Caenorhabditis elegans: one gene and its partner. The protein of the gene in region 2 interacts with the protein of the main gene of each other region in a pairwise test. Each region holds a gene or a part of one and is shown on either strand. Other genes may lie near its edges. The genes, in order: cdt-1 and gmn-1.

What was found.
Region 1: the proteins of gmn-1 (region 2) and cdt-1 interact in a two-hybrid assay, tested with the Caenorhabditis elegans proteins (one study listed by BioGRID).

Annotation. Positions count from the first base shown.
Region 1 is NC_003279.8:3,222,536-3,230,055, forward strand, and holds cdt-1 (CDT1 Geminin-binding domain-containing protein), read right to left. Parts: upstream 5,570-7,520; 5' UTR 5,433-5,569; coding exon 5,367-5,432; intron 5,308-5,366; coding exon 4,344-5,307; intron 3,231-4,343; coding exon 2,378-3,230; intron 1,256-2,377; coding exon 1,084-1,255; 3' UTR 625-1,083; downstream 1-624. Other genes in the region: rom-5 (rhomboid protease), read right to left, coding at 215-415; txl-1 (Thioredoxin-like protein), read left to right, coding at 6,913-7,163.
Region 2 is NC_003281.10:12,223,325-12,227,430, forward strand, and holds gmn-1 (Geminin homolog), read right to left. Parts: upstream 2,008-4,106; coding exon 1,762-2,007; intron 1,606-1,761; coding exon 1,309-1,605; 3' UTR 564-1,308; downstream 1-563. Other genes in the region: gphr-1 (Golgi pH regulator), read left to right, coding at 307-510; Y75B8A.18 (Clathrin light chain), read right to left, coding at 2,390-2,539, 2,596-2,745, 2,795-2,869; Y75B8A.19 (RING-type E3 ubiquitin transferase), read left to right, coding at 3,344-3,389, 3,975-4,106. UniProt on the Caenorhabditis elegans protein: Inhibits DNA replication by binding to the DNA replication licensing factor cdt-1. Its interaction with cdt-1 prevents the cdt-1 loading of the mini-chromosome maintenance (MCM) complex onto DNA and therefore DNA replication licencing.

The DNA of each region.
Region 1 (7,520 bases), on a different chromosome or scaffold from region 2:
TTTTGGCATTTTTTAAAGCGAATTTTTGATATTTTTCAAGAGAAAATATGCGGATTTCTTGAATTTTTTTTTTAGAAAATTTTCGCTTTTTCTTTCAATTTTCAATGAATTTTTGATATTTTTTACACAAAAAAAAAACCTTTTCTACTTCAATTTTCGCCGAAAAAACTGATTTTTTTACTAATTTTCAACTAAAAAATAAAAAATCCCGTACTTTCCACAAATCCGACATCGGCCTGACAGTTCTAGCGTCTGGACTAAACGCCTGCTTAATCTGATGATTTTTCGTGAGCTCTTTGAGCTCCTGCTGTCGTAATCGATCCCGTAATCCGTCACGTGTGAATCGGCTCGGCAGGCTTGTGCATTTTGTGAATGACCGGGAGCAAAGAAAGCCAACGAGGCGATTACTGAGCATTTTCTGAATTGAAAAATTATAGAAAAATTGAATTTTGTTTTAAAAATTTAGTTTTTCATTGAAGAATGATGAAAAATACATAAACGGTTGAAAAACGGATCGCGAAATGCGCCAGCAATGCACCGAAAATGCGCCAAGCGGAAAATAATTTTTACGCTGAAAATGAATAACAGCTTGGAATAAAAATTTTAATTCCATTTTAATTTTCTAAATAACGTTTTGATTTATTTGAAATTTTAAATTTGAAATTGCAAGAGTGATAACTTGGAAAAAAGTGAAAAAAAATTGGAAAATGGTACAGAGCATGAGAGAAAAAACGAGAAGAAAAATAGTTACAAGTGACGGATTTTTTGGAAAAGTTCCGATTTTTTCAGGAATTTTCAAAGAAATTCTGGAAAATTGAGAATTTTTAGAAATTCTTTGAAAATGTTCAGGAATTACAAAGATTTTCGAGAAGTTATAGTGGAAATTTTGTGATTTTTCGGGAATTTTTTGGAGAATTGTATTGAAAAATTTCCGATTTTTTTCCGGAAAATTCGTGAAAAAATCGAAAAATGCTCAAAAATCTTTGAAATTTCTGGAAATTCTTTGGAAAAAAATTAAAAATTGCAGGAATGTTATGAGAGAAAAGTGAGAAAATTAGTTACAAATGGCTTAGAAATTAGTTTTTAATGAAATTTGAGAGATCTTGCTGCTTTGGATGGCCGTGGTGTGTGGTGGTGGCTCATTTGTGCAATTTGGGTGTTTCGTTGCTCATCAATCTTTTTCTGAGTAATTTGGAGCTCTTCATCGAGCAACTCGTTGATTGCTTCAATGTTGTTGTCGGTGAATCGGAAGTATCTGGAAAAAAATTAGAATTTTTTTTGTTGAAATTTTACGATTTTCAAGTAATTTTTTTCACAAATGTCTGTGTCGATTTACGGAGCTCGTGTACTCCTCGAGGAGAAGTTATGTTTTTTTTGGTGGAAATTTTTGATTTTGGTCCATTTATTGTTGGAAAACCACAAATTTAATTTTTGCGATTTTTTTTTTGGAAACTTCTAAAAAATTTGGAGAATTTTTATGATTTTTTTAATGCTAAAGTAGTAATTTTGAATTTCCTATTTTTAAAATGAATTTTTCGAAATTTTCCAAGGCGAATTTTTCGAGAATATTAGATATTTTTCAAAATTTAAAAAAATCTGTAATATTTTAAACTCTCGCAGAAAATTGTCATAATTTTTTTTTTGGGAATTTTCAGGATTTTTTACAAACAATTTTTTCGAATTTTTTAAAAATCTCCAAACATTTTTGCTAATTTTCAGGAATTTCCGATTTTTCAATGAATTTTTAAAAAAATTCAAAAATTTTCAGACGAATTTTTAAAAGAAAAAAAATTTGCAGAAATCATACAAAATCGAGCACCATATCCAAAAACTACTCTTCTCCTCGTGGAGTACACCGTCTGCGTAAATCGAGACAAAGAAATTTTTAAAATCAAATTTTCCGATTTTTTTCATAACTTTTTAAAAATTCTTTGATATTTTTCAAAAATTTCTGAAAAACCACCGCGAATTTATGGAAAATTATATTTTAAAACTTGCGAAATTTTCAAGATTGATTTTTCTTTCAATTTCGATGCAAAAGAATTTGCAAAAATGACCCGAAATCGAGATTTTTTTTTAATTTTCAAAAAAAAAGTTGAATTTTCTGAAAATTCCCATTTTTGCAAATGTTCTGATATTTTTTTTTTACTAATTTGCTGCTTTCTAGAGTTTTCAGCATTTTTAAGAGAATTTCCGATTTTTCAATGAATTTTAAACATTTTTTCAGACATTTTATTTCAAAAAATTTGCGAATTTTCAACATTTTTTGAAAACAATTTTTTAAAGTTCGCCGAAATCATCCAATTTTCAAGTTTTTTCTTTCGATTTCGATGCAAAAGAATTCGCAAAAATGGCTCAAAATCGAGAAAAAACGAACTTTTTGTTCATTAAACTAGCTTCAGAGATGTACATCGGTGCGACCTCACACAACAATCTCAAATGATCCATAATATCAGGAATCGAAGACGAGTTGGACGAGCTGAACTGCACAAATTTGCAAATCACATCAATTTCCATCGTCTGAGCCCGTTTCGCCGTATAATGATTGCACACAATTCGAACATATCGGTCACGGAGCAGTGTTAGACGTTGCTTTCTTCTCTCAAGATCCTTATCAATACAAGCTTCAGCCGCCTTTTTGATTGCTTCCTTCGCACGAATACGCTCTAAAAGTGACATTGCTCCCTGGCTCTTCTGCTCTTTTTGCATCTCGGAGAACTTTTTCGGCGAGATTGGAACTGTTCCAGATGCTCCTGTAGTTGATTTCAGTGGAGATTTTAAGTCTTGATAAGCTTTTTGAACAAATGATGGTAGAGATACTTGATCCATATATTTATCTAAAGCTTCTTTCATTCCAATATGAATCGATGATTTCTGTAGAGGAGGTTCTGGAAGTTTCACCTGCGGCAGTGATGGACAATGCTTGTCAAGTCGGAATAATGGATGCATTCTCTTAATATTCGAAGAAGCACATAATCCTTGAGATTCCAAAAATTCCGTATGACATTTCGTGACAATCGAGGCCAACTTATAACGGAAAACATGAGCTCGGTCTCTTTGACGAGCAGCGTCCAGGCGAATCCTCCCGTCGACTTCTGGCTTTCGGAGAGCCGGTTGAACTTGTTTTCTGGGGCTTTTCTTTGGGGAGAGCAGCTTTGATGGGCAGACTAGTGGAAGATCTTCGGTGTCGCCGTCGGTGGGGGATTTTTCGTAAATGTAGCCTCGTAGATCTGCAAAAAAAAAGGTTTTTTGTAAGCAGGAAACTTTTTTTTGACTAAAAATTGGGGTTTTTTCGAATTTTATAACTAAAAAATTGCGTTTTTCTGGGATTTTTTGAACAAAAAAAGGTGTTTTTTTCAATGTTTGGCCACAAAGATTGTGTTTTTCTCAGATATTTTAAACTAAAATATTGCGTATTTTTCGCATTTATGACTAAAAAATTGCGTTTTTTTCGGATTTTTGAACAAGAAAGGTGTTTTTTCGTATTTTTTTGACTAAAGAAATGTGTCTTTTTTTTTCGATTTTTCGACTTAAAATTGTGTTTTTTCCAGATTTTTTAAATTAAAAATAATTGTTTTTTTCTAATTTTTTGAACAAAAAATGGTGTTTTTTCCAATTTATAAATAGCGTTGTTTCGGATTATTTGACTGAAATATTGTGTTTTTTTTTCGGATTTTTTGAATAAAAATTCGGTATTTTCGGTTTTTTTTACAAAAAACGCTGTTCTATCGGATTTTATGACTAAAAAATTGAGCTCTTTCGGATTTTTTGAATAAAGAATTATCTTTTTTCCGATTTTATGACTAAAAAACGGTGTTTTTTTCCCGGATTTTTTTCTTAAAATTGAGTTTTTTCGAATTTTTTTACTAAAAAATTGTTTTTTTTTTGGATTTTTTAAACAAAAAAGTTTTTTTTTCGAACATCTGGTAAAAAGCTGTGTTTTTTCTTACTTTTTGAAGAGAAAATTGTGTTTTTTTTCAGTTTTTTTTTGAGCAAAGCTAGTATTTTTAGAATTTCCAAAAATTAATATAAAACCAGGGCTTTTTTTTTGAATTTTTTGAAAAATTTTCACATCAAAAATCAGTATCAGGAGCATGAATAGGGTCTGTTAAAAAATAGAGAAATATTTTATTAATCGTTAAATATTTTCGAGTTCAAAAATGTGTGGAGGTGATCAAACAGAGAAGAAAAATCGATAAGTCTTTTTAAACTTAAAAGAATGCTATTTTACGATTAATATAATATTTTTTCTATTTTCTGACACTAAATTTTAATGGAATACGTCAGAAATAGCTGATTTTTTAAATGTTTTTATTGCAAATTGCCAACCGAAAGCTACGAACCTTCCACGAGATTCGGTCGAACCTCAAGTTCATACTTCCCGCCCTGGCCGAATGCTTTTCGCTGTTCACGCATCTCAATATGATATGATTGAGGATATACATGAAGAATTTGTGACAAATGTTCATTGGAAAAATCCTTTCCAGACGTATTCTTAACATTCTTGATCAACTCAGGAACCACACAGCTTCGATTCTGACCGATAAAGATCGCAGTGATCTGATCGATTCGTTTGAAAGTATCAGCGAGATGTTCATACGCAGTTGGAAGTTCAATCCGTTGACGTGCACTCTCCTTAACTTCATCAATAAGCCGTGAGCTCTTCAGAAACTCTGCAGTCATTCGTTTTCCCTCTTCTTCGTGAGCATCATCCTGCTCTCCGCGAACTTTTTCGGCCGATTTCAGGACATTAAAGCCGGGAATAATATAGTCTGGAACTGGCTTCTTCGGTGAGAACAGATTACGAGCGGCCTTGGATTTCTGAGGTGATTTGTGATGCTCAACAATAACTGGTTTCTTCGGAGATTTCAGCAATTCCACGTGATCATCGACCTGCTTCGTTTTGTTCTTCAAATTTTGCTCATGAATCGCTTTAGCTGCTCCTTTTGCAGCTATTCTTGCTTGTAAATCTGCAACAGTTCGAATTCCAGCCTTCTTTTTCGCTGGGCCGGATGCTTCCATTAGCTTATCGATCGCTGACTTCTGAGGAGCCGGATTTTCCAGAATAATATCTTCATGGATTTTGGGAAGCTCAGGGGCTTCTGCTTCAGCTTCTCTAGCTTTTTTTGGCGGAGTTCCGGAACTCGATAATTCCGCTTGACGGGATGGAGTCCGAGCGCGAGTTCGGGAGGATTTATTCTCGACGATTGGAGCAGCAGGAATTTGTACTTCTTTAATTGTAGTGGTCTTTGTGATGCTTTCATCGATAATCTTCTTTTCTCCTCTTGCTCTCGGTTTTCTGGTGGTCTGAAAAAGAAAAAAAAACATTAAATAATTGCAATTCATAACTTCAAACTCCAATTTACCTTGAAAAAGTCGGTTACAGCAGTCTGCGGAGTCTGGGACCTGGATCTAGTCACCCGGGAACTCATTTTTATCAGGAATAAATAATAATTTCAGCGAAATTATTCGCGAAAACCAAAAAATAAATGGGAGAGACGACAGACAAAGCGTACACTTTGAACAGTCCCGGTTTCCCGCACTTTTTGTCCATTGGAGCGCGTTTGTTGTCCGCTGCGTCTCCACGCTTCGTGCACTCCCTCGCCGCACCGGCATTCATTTTGAATGCTGACAAATCCACGTTTCATGCCGATTTTCTTAATTTTCCGGAATTTATACTATTTTTTGCATATTAAAATTGTGTTCAGAGCGTTTAAAAGTGCTTTTCACCTATTTTAGCGTGTAAAATGCCCAAAATTACCCAAAAATCAGTTTGAGAATGAATGCATTTTACTGTGGAAACCTTCAAAAAATCTTTTTTTTAATGAATAATTATTTAAATTGGCGTGATTCCTATATTTTTTGAAATTTTTTTTTCGTTTTTTCTTCTGAATGAGATATCTTTTGCTCCTAGAACTATAAACTGAACAATTTTGGAAGCGGTGATCCCAGAAATTACAATTTTTCGGTCAAAATTTCCCCAGAAATCGCCCAAAAAATAACGAAATTTCACAATTTCTGCGTATTAAATAGCTAAAATATATTCGTGCATTGTTCCGGGAGTATTTACAATAGCTTTTGCCAGAAATCCCAAAAAAAATGATGCGAAAGCTTAAAAATTGGAATTTCAGCGGGAAAAATTCAACAAATTCAACTACAAAATAACAACTTTTTTCAAAACCCAATTTTTTTCTTTAATTTTTCTTTAGATTTTGGGGATTTTTCCCATTTTTTGAGATTATTTTGCATTTTTCGATTAAAAATCCGTATTTTAAAGGTGGCGTAGTCGAATTTTTTTAAAATTGCTTCATTAGACTCAAAATTGTCTCAAAACACCGAATTTCATGATGAAACTGCTTGAAAACTTCTCAAAAAAAGTTATGACTGCTCAAAAAATGGCCTAAAATTAGTTAAAATTTGAAATTTGACCGACTTGTCAAGCGGCTGGAAACTAACTTTTTTGAAATTACCGTCTAATTTTGAGTATACAATTATATTATCTTGCATTTTCAATTTGATTCAGATATTTTGAAGTCGATGGACGGCGAGATTTTTAAATTTTTTAAACCAAATCTCGCCGTCCATCGACTTTAAAATACCTAAATCGAGTTGAAAACGCAAGATAATTACATTTTATATATACTCAAAATTTGACGGTGATTTCAAAAAAGGTAGTTTTTAGCCGCTTGAAAAGTCGGTCTAATTTCAAATTTTAACTAATTTTAGGCCATTTTTTGAGCAGTCATAACTTTTTTTGAGAAGTTTTCAAGCAGTTTCATCATGAAATTCGGTGTTTTGAGACAATTTTGAGTCTAATGAAGCAATTTTAAAAAAATTCGACTACACCACCTTAAAAAAATAAGTGCAGTAATCTAAATATTAAATTAATTTTCAGCCCATCTCCCCTACACCATGCCAGTTATCAACGTGAAAGACGACGAAGACTTCAGAAATCAGCTTTCCCTCGCTGGTCTCAAGTCAGTGATTGTCGATTTCACTGCAGTCTGGTGCGGACCGTGCAAAATGATTGCTCCAACATTTGAAGCTCTGTCCAATCAATATCTTGGAGCAGTTTTTCTGAAAGTTGATGTGGAGATCTGCGAGAAAACCAGCTCAGAGAACGGTGTCAATTCGATGCCAACGTTCATGGTTTTCCAGAGCGGGTATGGGTCTCATCTGGAATTGGAATAGAAATGCGGGAAATTTGAAGAAATTGCAAAAAAGTGAAGTCTCAGAAATTATTTCATTTTGAATATCTTGAAAATATTGATTTTTGCAGGTTTTACGAGCCAATTTGCAAGAAATTTATGAGTTTCCAAATTAAATTTTTTAAAGATAATCAAAACAGGGCTCTGCCATTTTTAATATGCTATAATCCAACTTTTTGATCTAAAATTGATATAGAAATGTAGAAAAAATTTATGTTCCATCTGAAAATAATATTTATTTTTGTTGAAAATTTTGAAAAAGGCCTCAAATGGTGCGAGGCCTATTTCAAATTTTTCAAAAAAAATAAATAA
Region 2 (4,106 bases):
CCTACAAAAAATCGACAAAAATTAAGGAAACACGCACGAAATAAATTTTAAAAAACGGAAAGCTCCCGTAAATCGTCACGAAGCAAGCGCGCTCCAATGAGAATATCTGTGAGCGCGCATTTGAAAAAAATGATTCGGGCGCGATTTCAAGGTGAAATATAAAATCAGGGAAATTTGTTCGAATTTTTTCACATAGATATTCGGAATCAGGGGAAAATTTGGAGTCATTCAAGAGCATTTTAACAGTTTTTTCACCAATTTTTCAATTAAATTTTCGATTTTTCAATAAAAAATTGAATTTTTCAGGGAATGTACTTCGTTTCGAGCGTCCTATTAATGCGTATGAACGTGCCCGAGGAGTATCGAACGATTCTGACGAGAATTCTCGGCGATTTGAAATTCAACTTCTACCATCGCTGGTTCGACGTGATTTTCCTAATATCCGCCGTCTCTTCTATTGTTTTCTTGACACTTATTCACAAATCCGGTTCTTCAATGTTTAGGGCATAATTATTTGTTTTTGTGGTTTTGTTGCTGGTATTTAAATTATTTTAAACTTCGGGTCGCATAGAATTTGAAATTCATTTGATAAAAAAACATTTTAAAATTGAATTGCGTTGAAATTTGGTAAAACTCGTAAAAGGAATGAAGTAAATACACAAGATATATATAAACACGAGGTAGCACGCTCCCCTCGAAGCCGAATAATTATTCGAGCGCGCTTGCTACGCTTCGCGTTTCAGCGTCGGCTGAGTTTTGCTTTTCCACTGAAAATAGCAGATTTATCGAATTTTTAGCTTAAAATTTTTTTTCGGCTTTTTACGAACCAACCTTTTGTTAAACGGTGAAAATCAAATTTAAAATGACTAAAATGAACTTTTTTCGTCCACTGGTTGTGAAATGGTTTGAATTTGAAGACATCAGCGGGATTTTTCGTATTTTCTGAATATTTTTCGATTAGAATTCGGTTTTAAACTATTTTTGACTCTAACGTTAGGTTACAAGTGCATTAAAACCGATTTTTAATTGAAAAATATTTAGAAAATAAGAAAAATCCCGTTGATGTCGTCAAATTCAAACCATTTTACAGCCAGTGAACGAAAAAAGTTCATTTTAGTCATTTTAAATTCGATTTTCACTGTTTAACAAAAGGTTGGTTCGTAAAAAGCCGAAAAAAAATTTTAAGCTAAAAATTCGATAAATCTGCTATTTTCAATGAAAAGGCAAAACACCGCGGGCACAGAAACGCGAATCGTAGCAAGCGCGCTCTAATAATTATTCGGCTTTGAGGAGAGCGTGGATAGTAATTTAAAGTTGCGCGGTGCCAATCTCCTCATCCGTCTGTTGCTCCTCGTCAATGTCGGCGAGCACTTCGAGAAGAATCTCCGTGTCATCGTCGATTTTTCGCATTTTTTCGTCGAGATCTCCGAGTTCGGCGACGAGACGCTGATTTCTGTCCATTTCATCGTCCAGATCCATTTGCAGACGGTCAGCCATCACGCGAAGATAGTTTACAGTTGGTTTTTCAGATGTTAGATCGGCTTCTGTGATTTTTGGTTGAACGTGTGGGACGTTGATGATCGTTTGCGTGGACACTGTGCCGTACTGCAATTTTTTTGATTTTTTTAAAATAAAATTTCAAAGTTTTAATAAATATCTATTATACCAGCTGCTTTCTCGTGTTCTGATGAATTAGCGATAATATACAAAGCATTGTAGATATATTTATGCCGATAAATCTTTTTAATCATCATTTCATACCTCAAACATCTGCGTCTCCACGTTTTTTGCCTCTTGATCATCATCACAGAACACGTCGAATGGAGATAAAACCGGTGTGATTGTGGTGGCAGAAGCCAGCGGGGACGGTGTGATTGGCTGATATTTCTTGAGTTGGGCGGTGAGCTTCAGCGGTTCTGGAATTTGCTTGGTGCCGGTGGCCTTCTCGGAGCCAAATGGACTGTTGCGTGCCGAGTTGTTGAGCTGTTGAAGGCCGATTCTGCTCATCTGAAATTTTTTTTGTTGAAAATTACACAAAAATAAGCAGAAAAAATTGAAATTGCGGCGAAAAATGGTGAAAATTTGAGTTCAAAATTCAAAAAAATAGATTTACGCGGGCCCCTAGGCCCGTAGGGTCTCGCCACGAAGCACGAGAAATTAAATTTCGAACCCTGCGCCTTTAAATTTACCGTACCCCAAAAATCGATTTTTCGGTGCAATTTGGAGAAATTAAATGAAAAAATACAAAAAAAAGAAGAAATAACCAGCTCTGATGATAAAAACAGAGAAATTAAATGAAAAAAAGACATCGACAAGGAGCAAAAATGCATTTTATACAGAAAAATAAGTATTTTTATAGCAAAATTAGAAGAATCCGGATTAATCCGAATTATTTACAGGTGCTCGTGTCGGGTTCTTCTTCGGAATCGCCGTTTTCACTTGATTTTTTCAATTTTTCGTTTCCCAAATCGAAGAGTCGCGTGTATTCAGTCTGTTTCGCGTCGAGCATCTCCGATTTTCGACTTTTCTCCACTTCCATCTGCAAAATCAATCGATAACTGTATATTAATATATCGCGTTGGAAAAAAATAAAACCTTCTCATTCAACGCTTTAATTCGATCCACTTCATTCTGTCGATTTGCAACAATTGACTCCCAATACGACATTTCTGGATTTTCCGTGTTTTTTCGATATTTTGTAATCGATTCCTCTGCTGTCTGTGTTGTCATATTTTCTACAGCAATCTAAAATAAATATTTTTCAATTTTTTTTTTTTTTTTGAAAAAAACTTACCTCTTCAGTCTGACATCCGACTTCTGGGGATAAATTGTTGGTTGTTGGCTCCCCGAGCACTACAAAATCACTCATCTCGAGAAAAATCGATAAAAACTGGCTAGAAATTGGTGAAAATGGTGTTGAGAGACAGGTGTTAGATTCGAAACACCCGCCATTGGTGAAGTGCGGTGGAGCGCGAGTGCGCCGCGTGACGTCACGGCTCCGTTGAAATGCAATTACATGCAATATTATAGAGATTTTCGAATAATATAAGAAATTATTGTTAGTTTCTGAATGAAATCTGACCAATAAATGATTAATTACAACATTTTTACAATATATCGTATATTTTGTATTTTAAATTGCTCTTTAAAAAATCGATCGATACACCATAACTTTATTTTACTAGAATAGTATATAAAATTCACTTTTTTTCCATTTTAATGCCAACTTCCTCCCCCAACCAACCCCAAAATCGTTAAAAAAATCGTATTTTTCATTCACAAATGTAGTTAATTTTAAGATTTACAGAACTAATATTCTATGAGCGGAACAGGATTGTTCAAAATGGTGTTGCAACACCAATTTGACGGCCTACTCGAAGTGATGCCTGGTTTGTAATTTTTTTTTCTTAAGAAATTTGAAAAATATCTCGATTTTCCAAAAATTTTCTCTTTTTTACACAAAATTTGTCGAAAAAGATTGAAAGTAATACAATTTCGTGATTTTTGCGCCAAAACTACGGTGCCCGGTCTCGACACGACAATTTTTAGTTAAATTGAACAAGGTGTGCGCCTTTAAGGAGTACTGTAGTTTTAAACTTTCGTTGCTGCGGGATTTTCGATTTTTTTCAATTTCAAGTAAATTTAAATTAAAAATTTTTTATTTAAACAAACTTTAAAAAAAATCGGATTTCTGGCTTCCCTCCATAAATTGAAATGGAAGAGTTTTTTGCCGAACTAGGCCAGGCCATATCTGGGGTAGATTTACGGCGCGTTGCGTGTCGCATCGCGGCTCGATTATAGTCCGTGAGGAGTACACGACACTTTTCCACGCGAAAAATTCAATGAGGAAGGCCTGAACCCCGTATTAAATTACAGTAACCTTTAAAGGCGCATACCTTTTCCATAAAACAAAAATTTGTCGTGGCGAGACCTGGTACAGTAATTTTTGCGCAAAAAAATCCCCAAAATTCCAGAAAATCCCCGCAAAAAACTTCGATTCACTTCTCGGCATATCGCTGCTGTCAATCGATATCTAGATGACAAATATTTTGATCCAAAGGAAGAAAAATGGTCAAATCTTCATCCCAAATATCGAATAGTTTTGG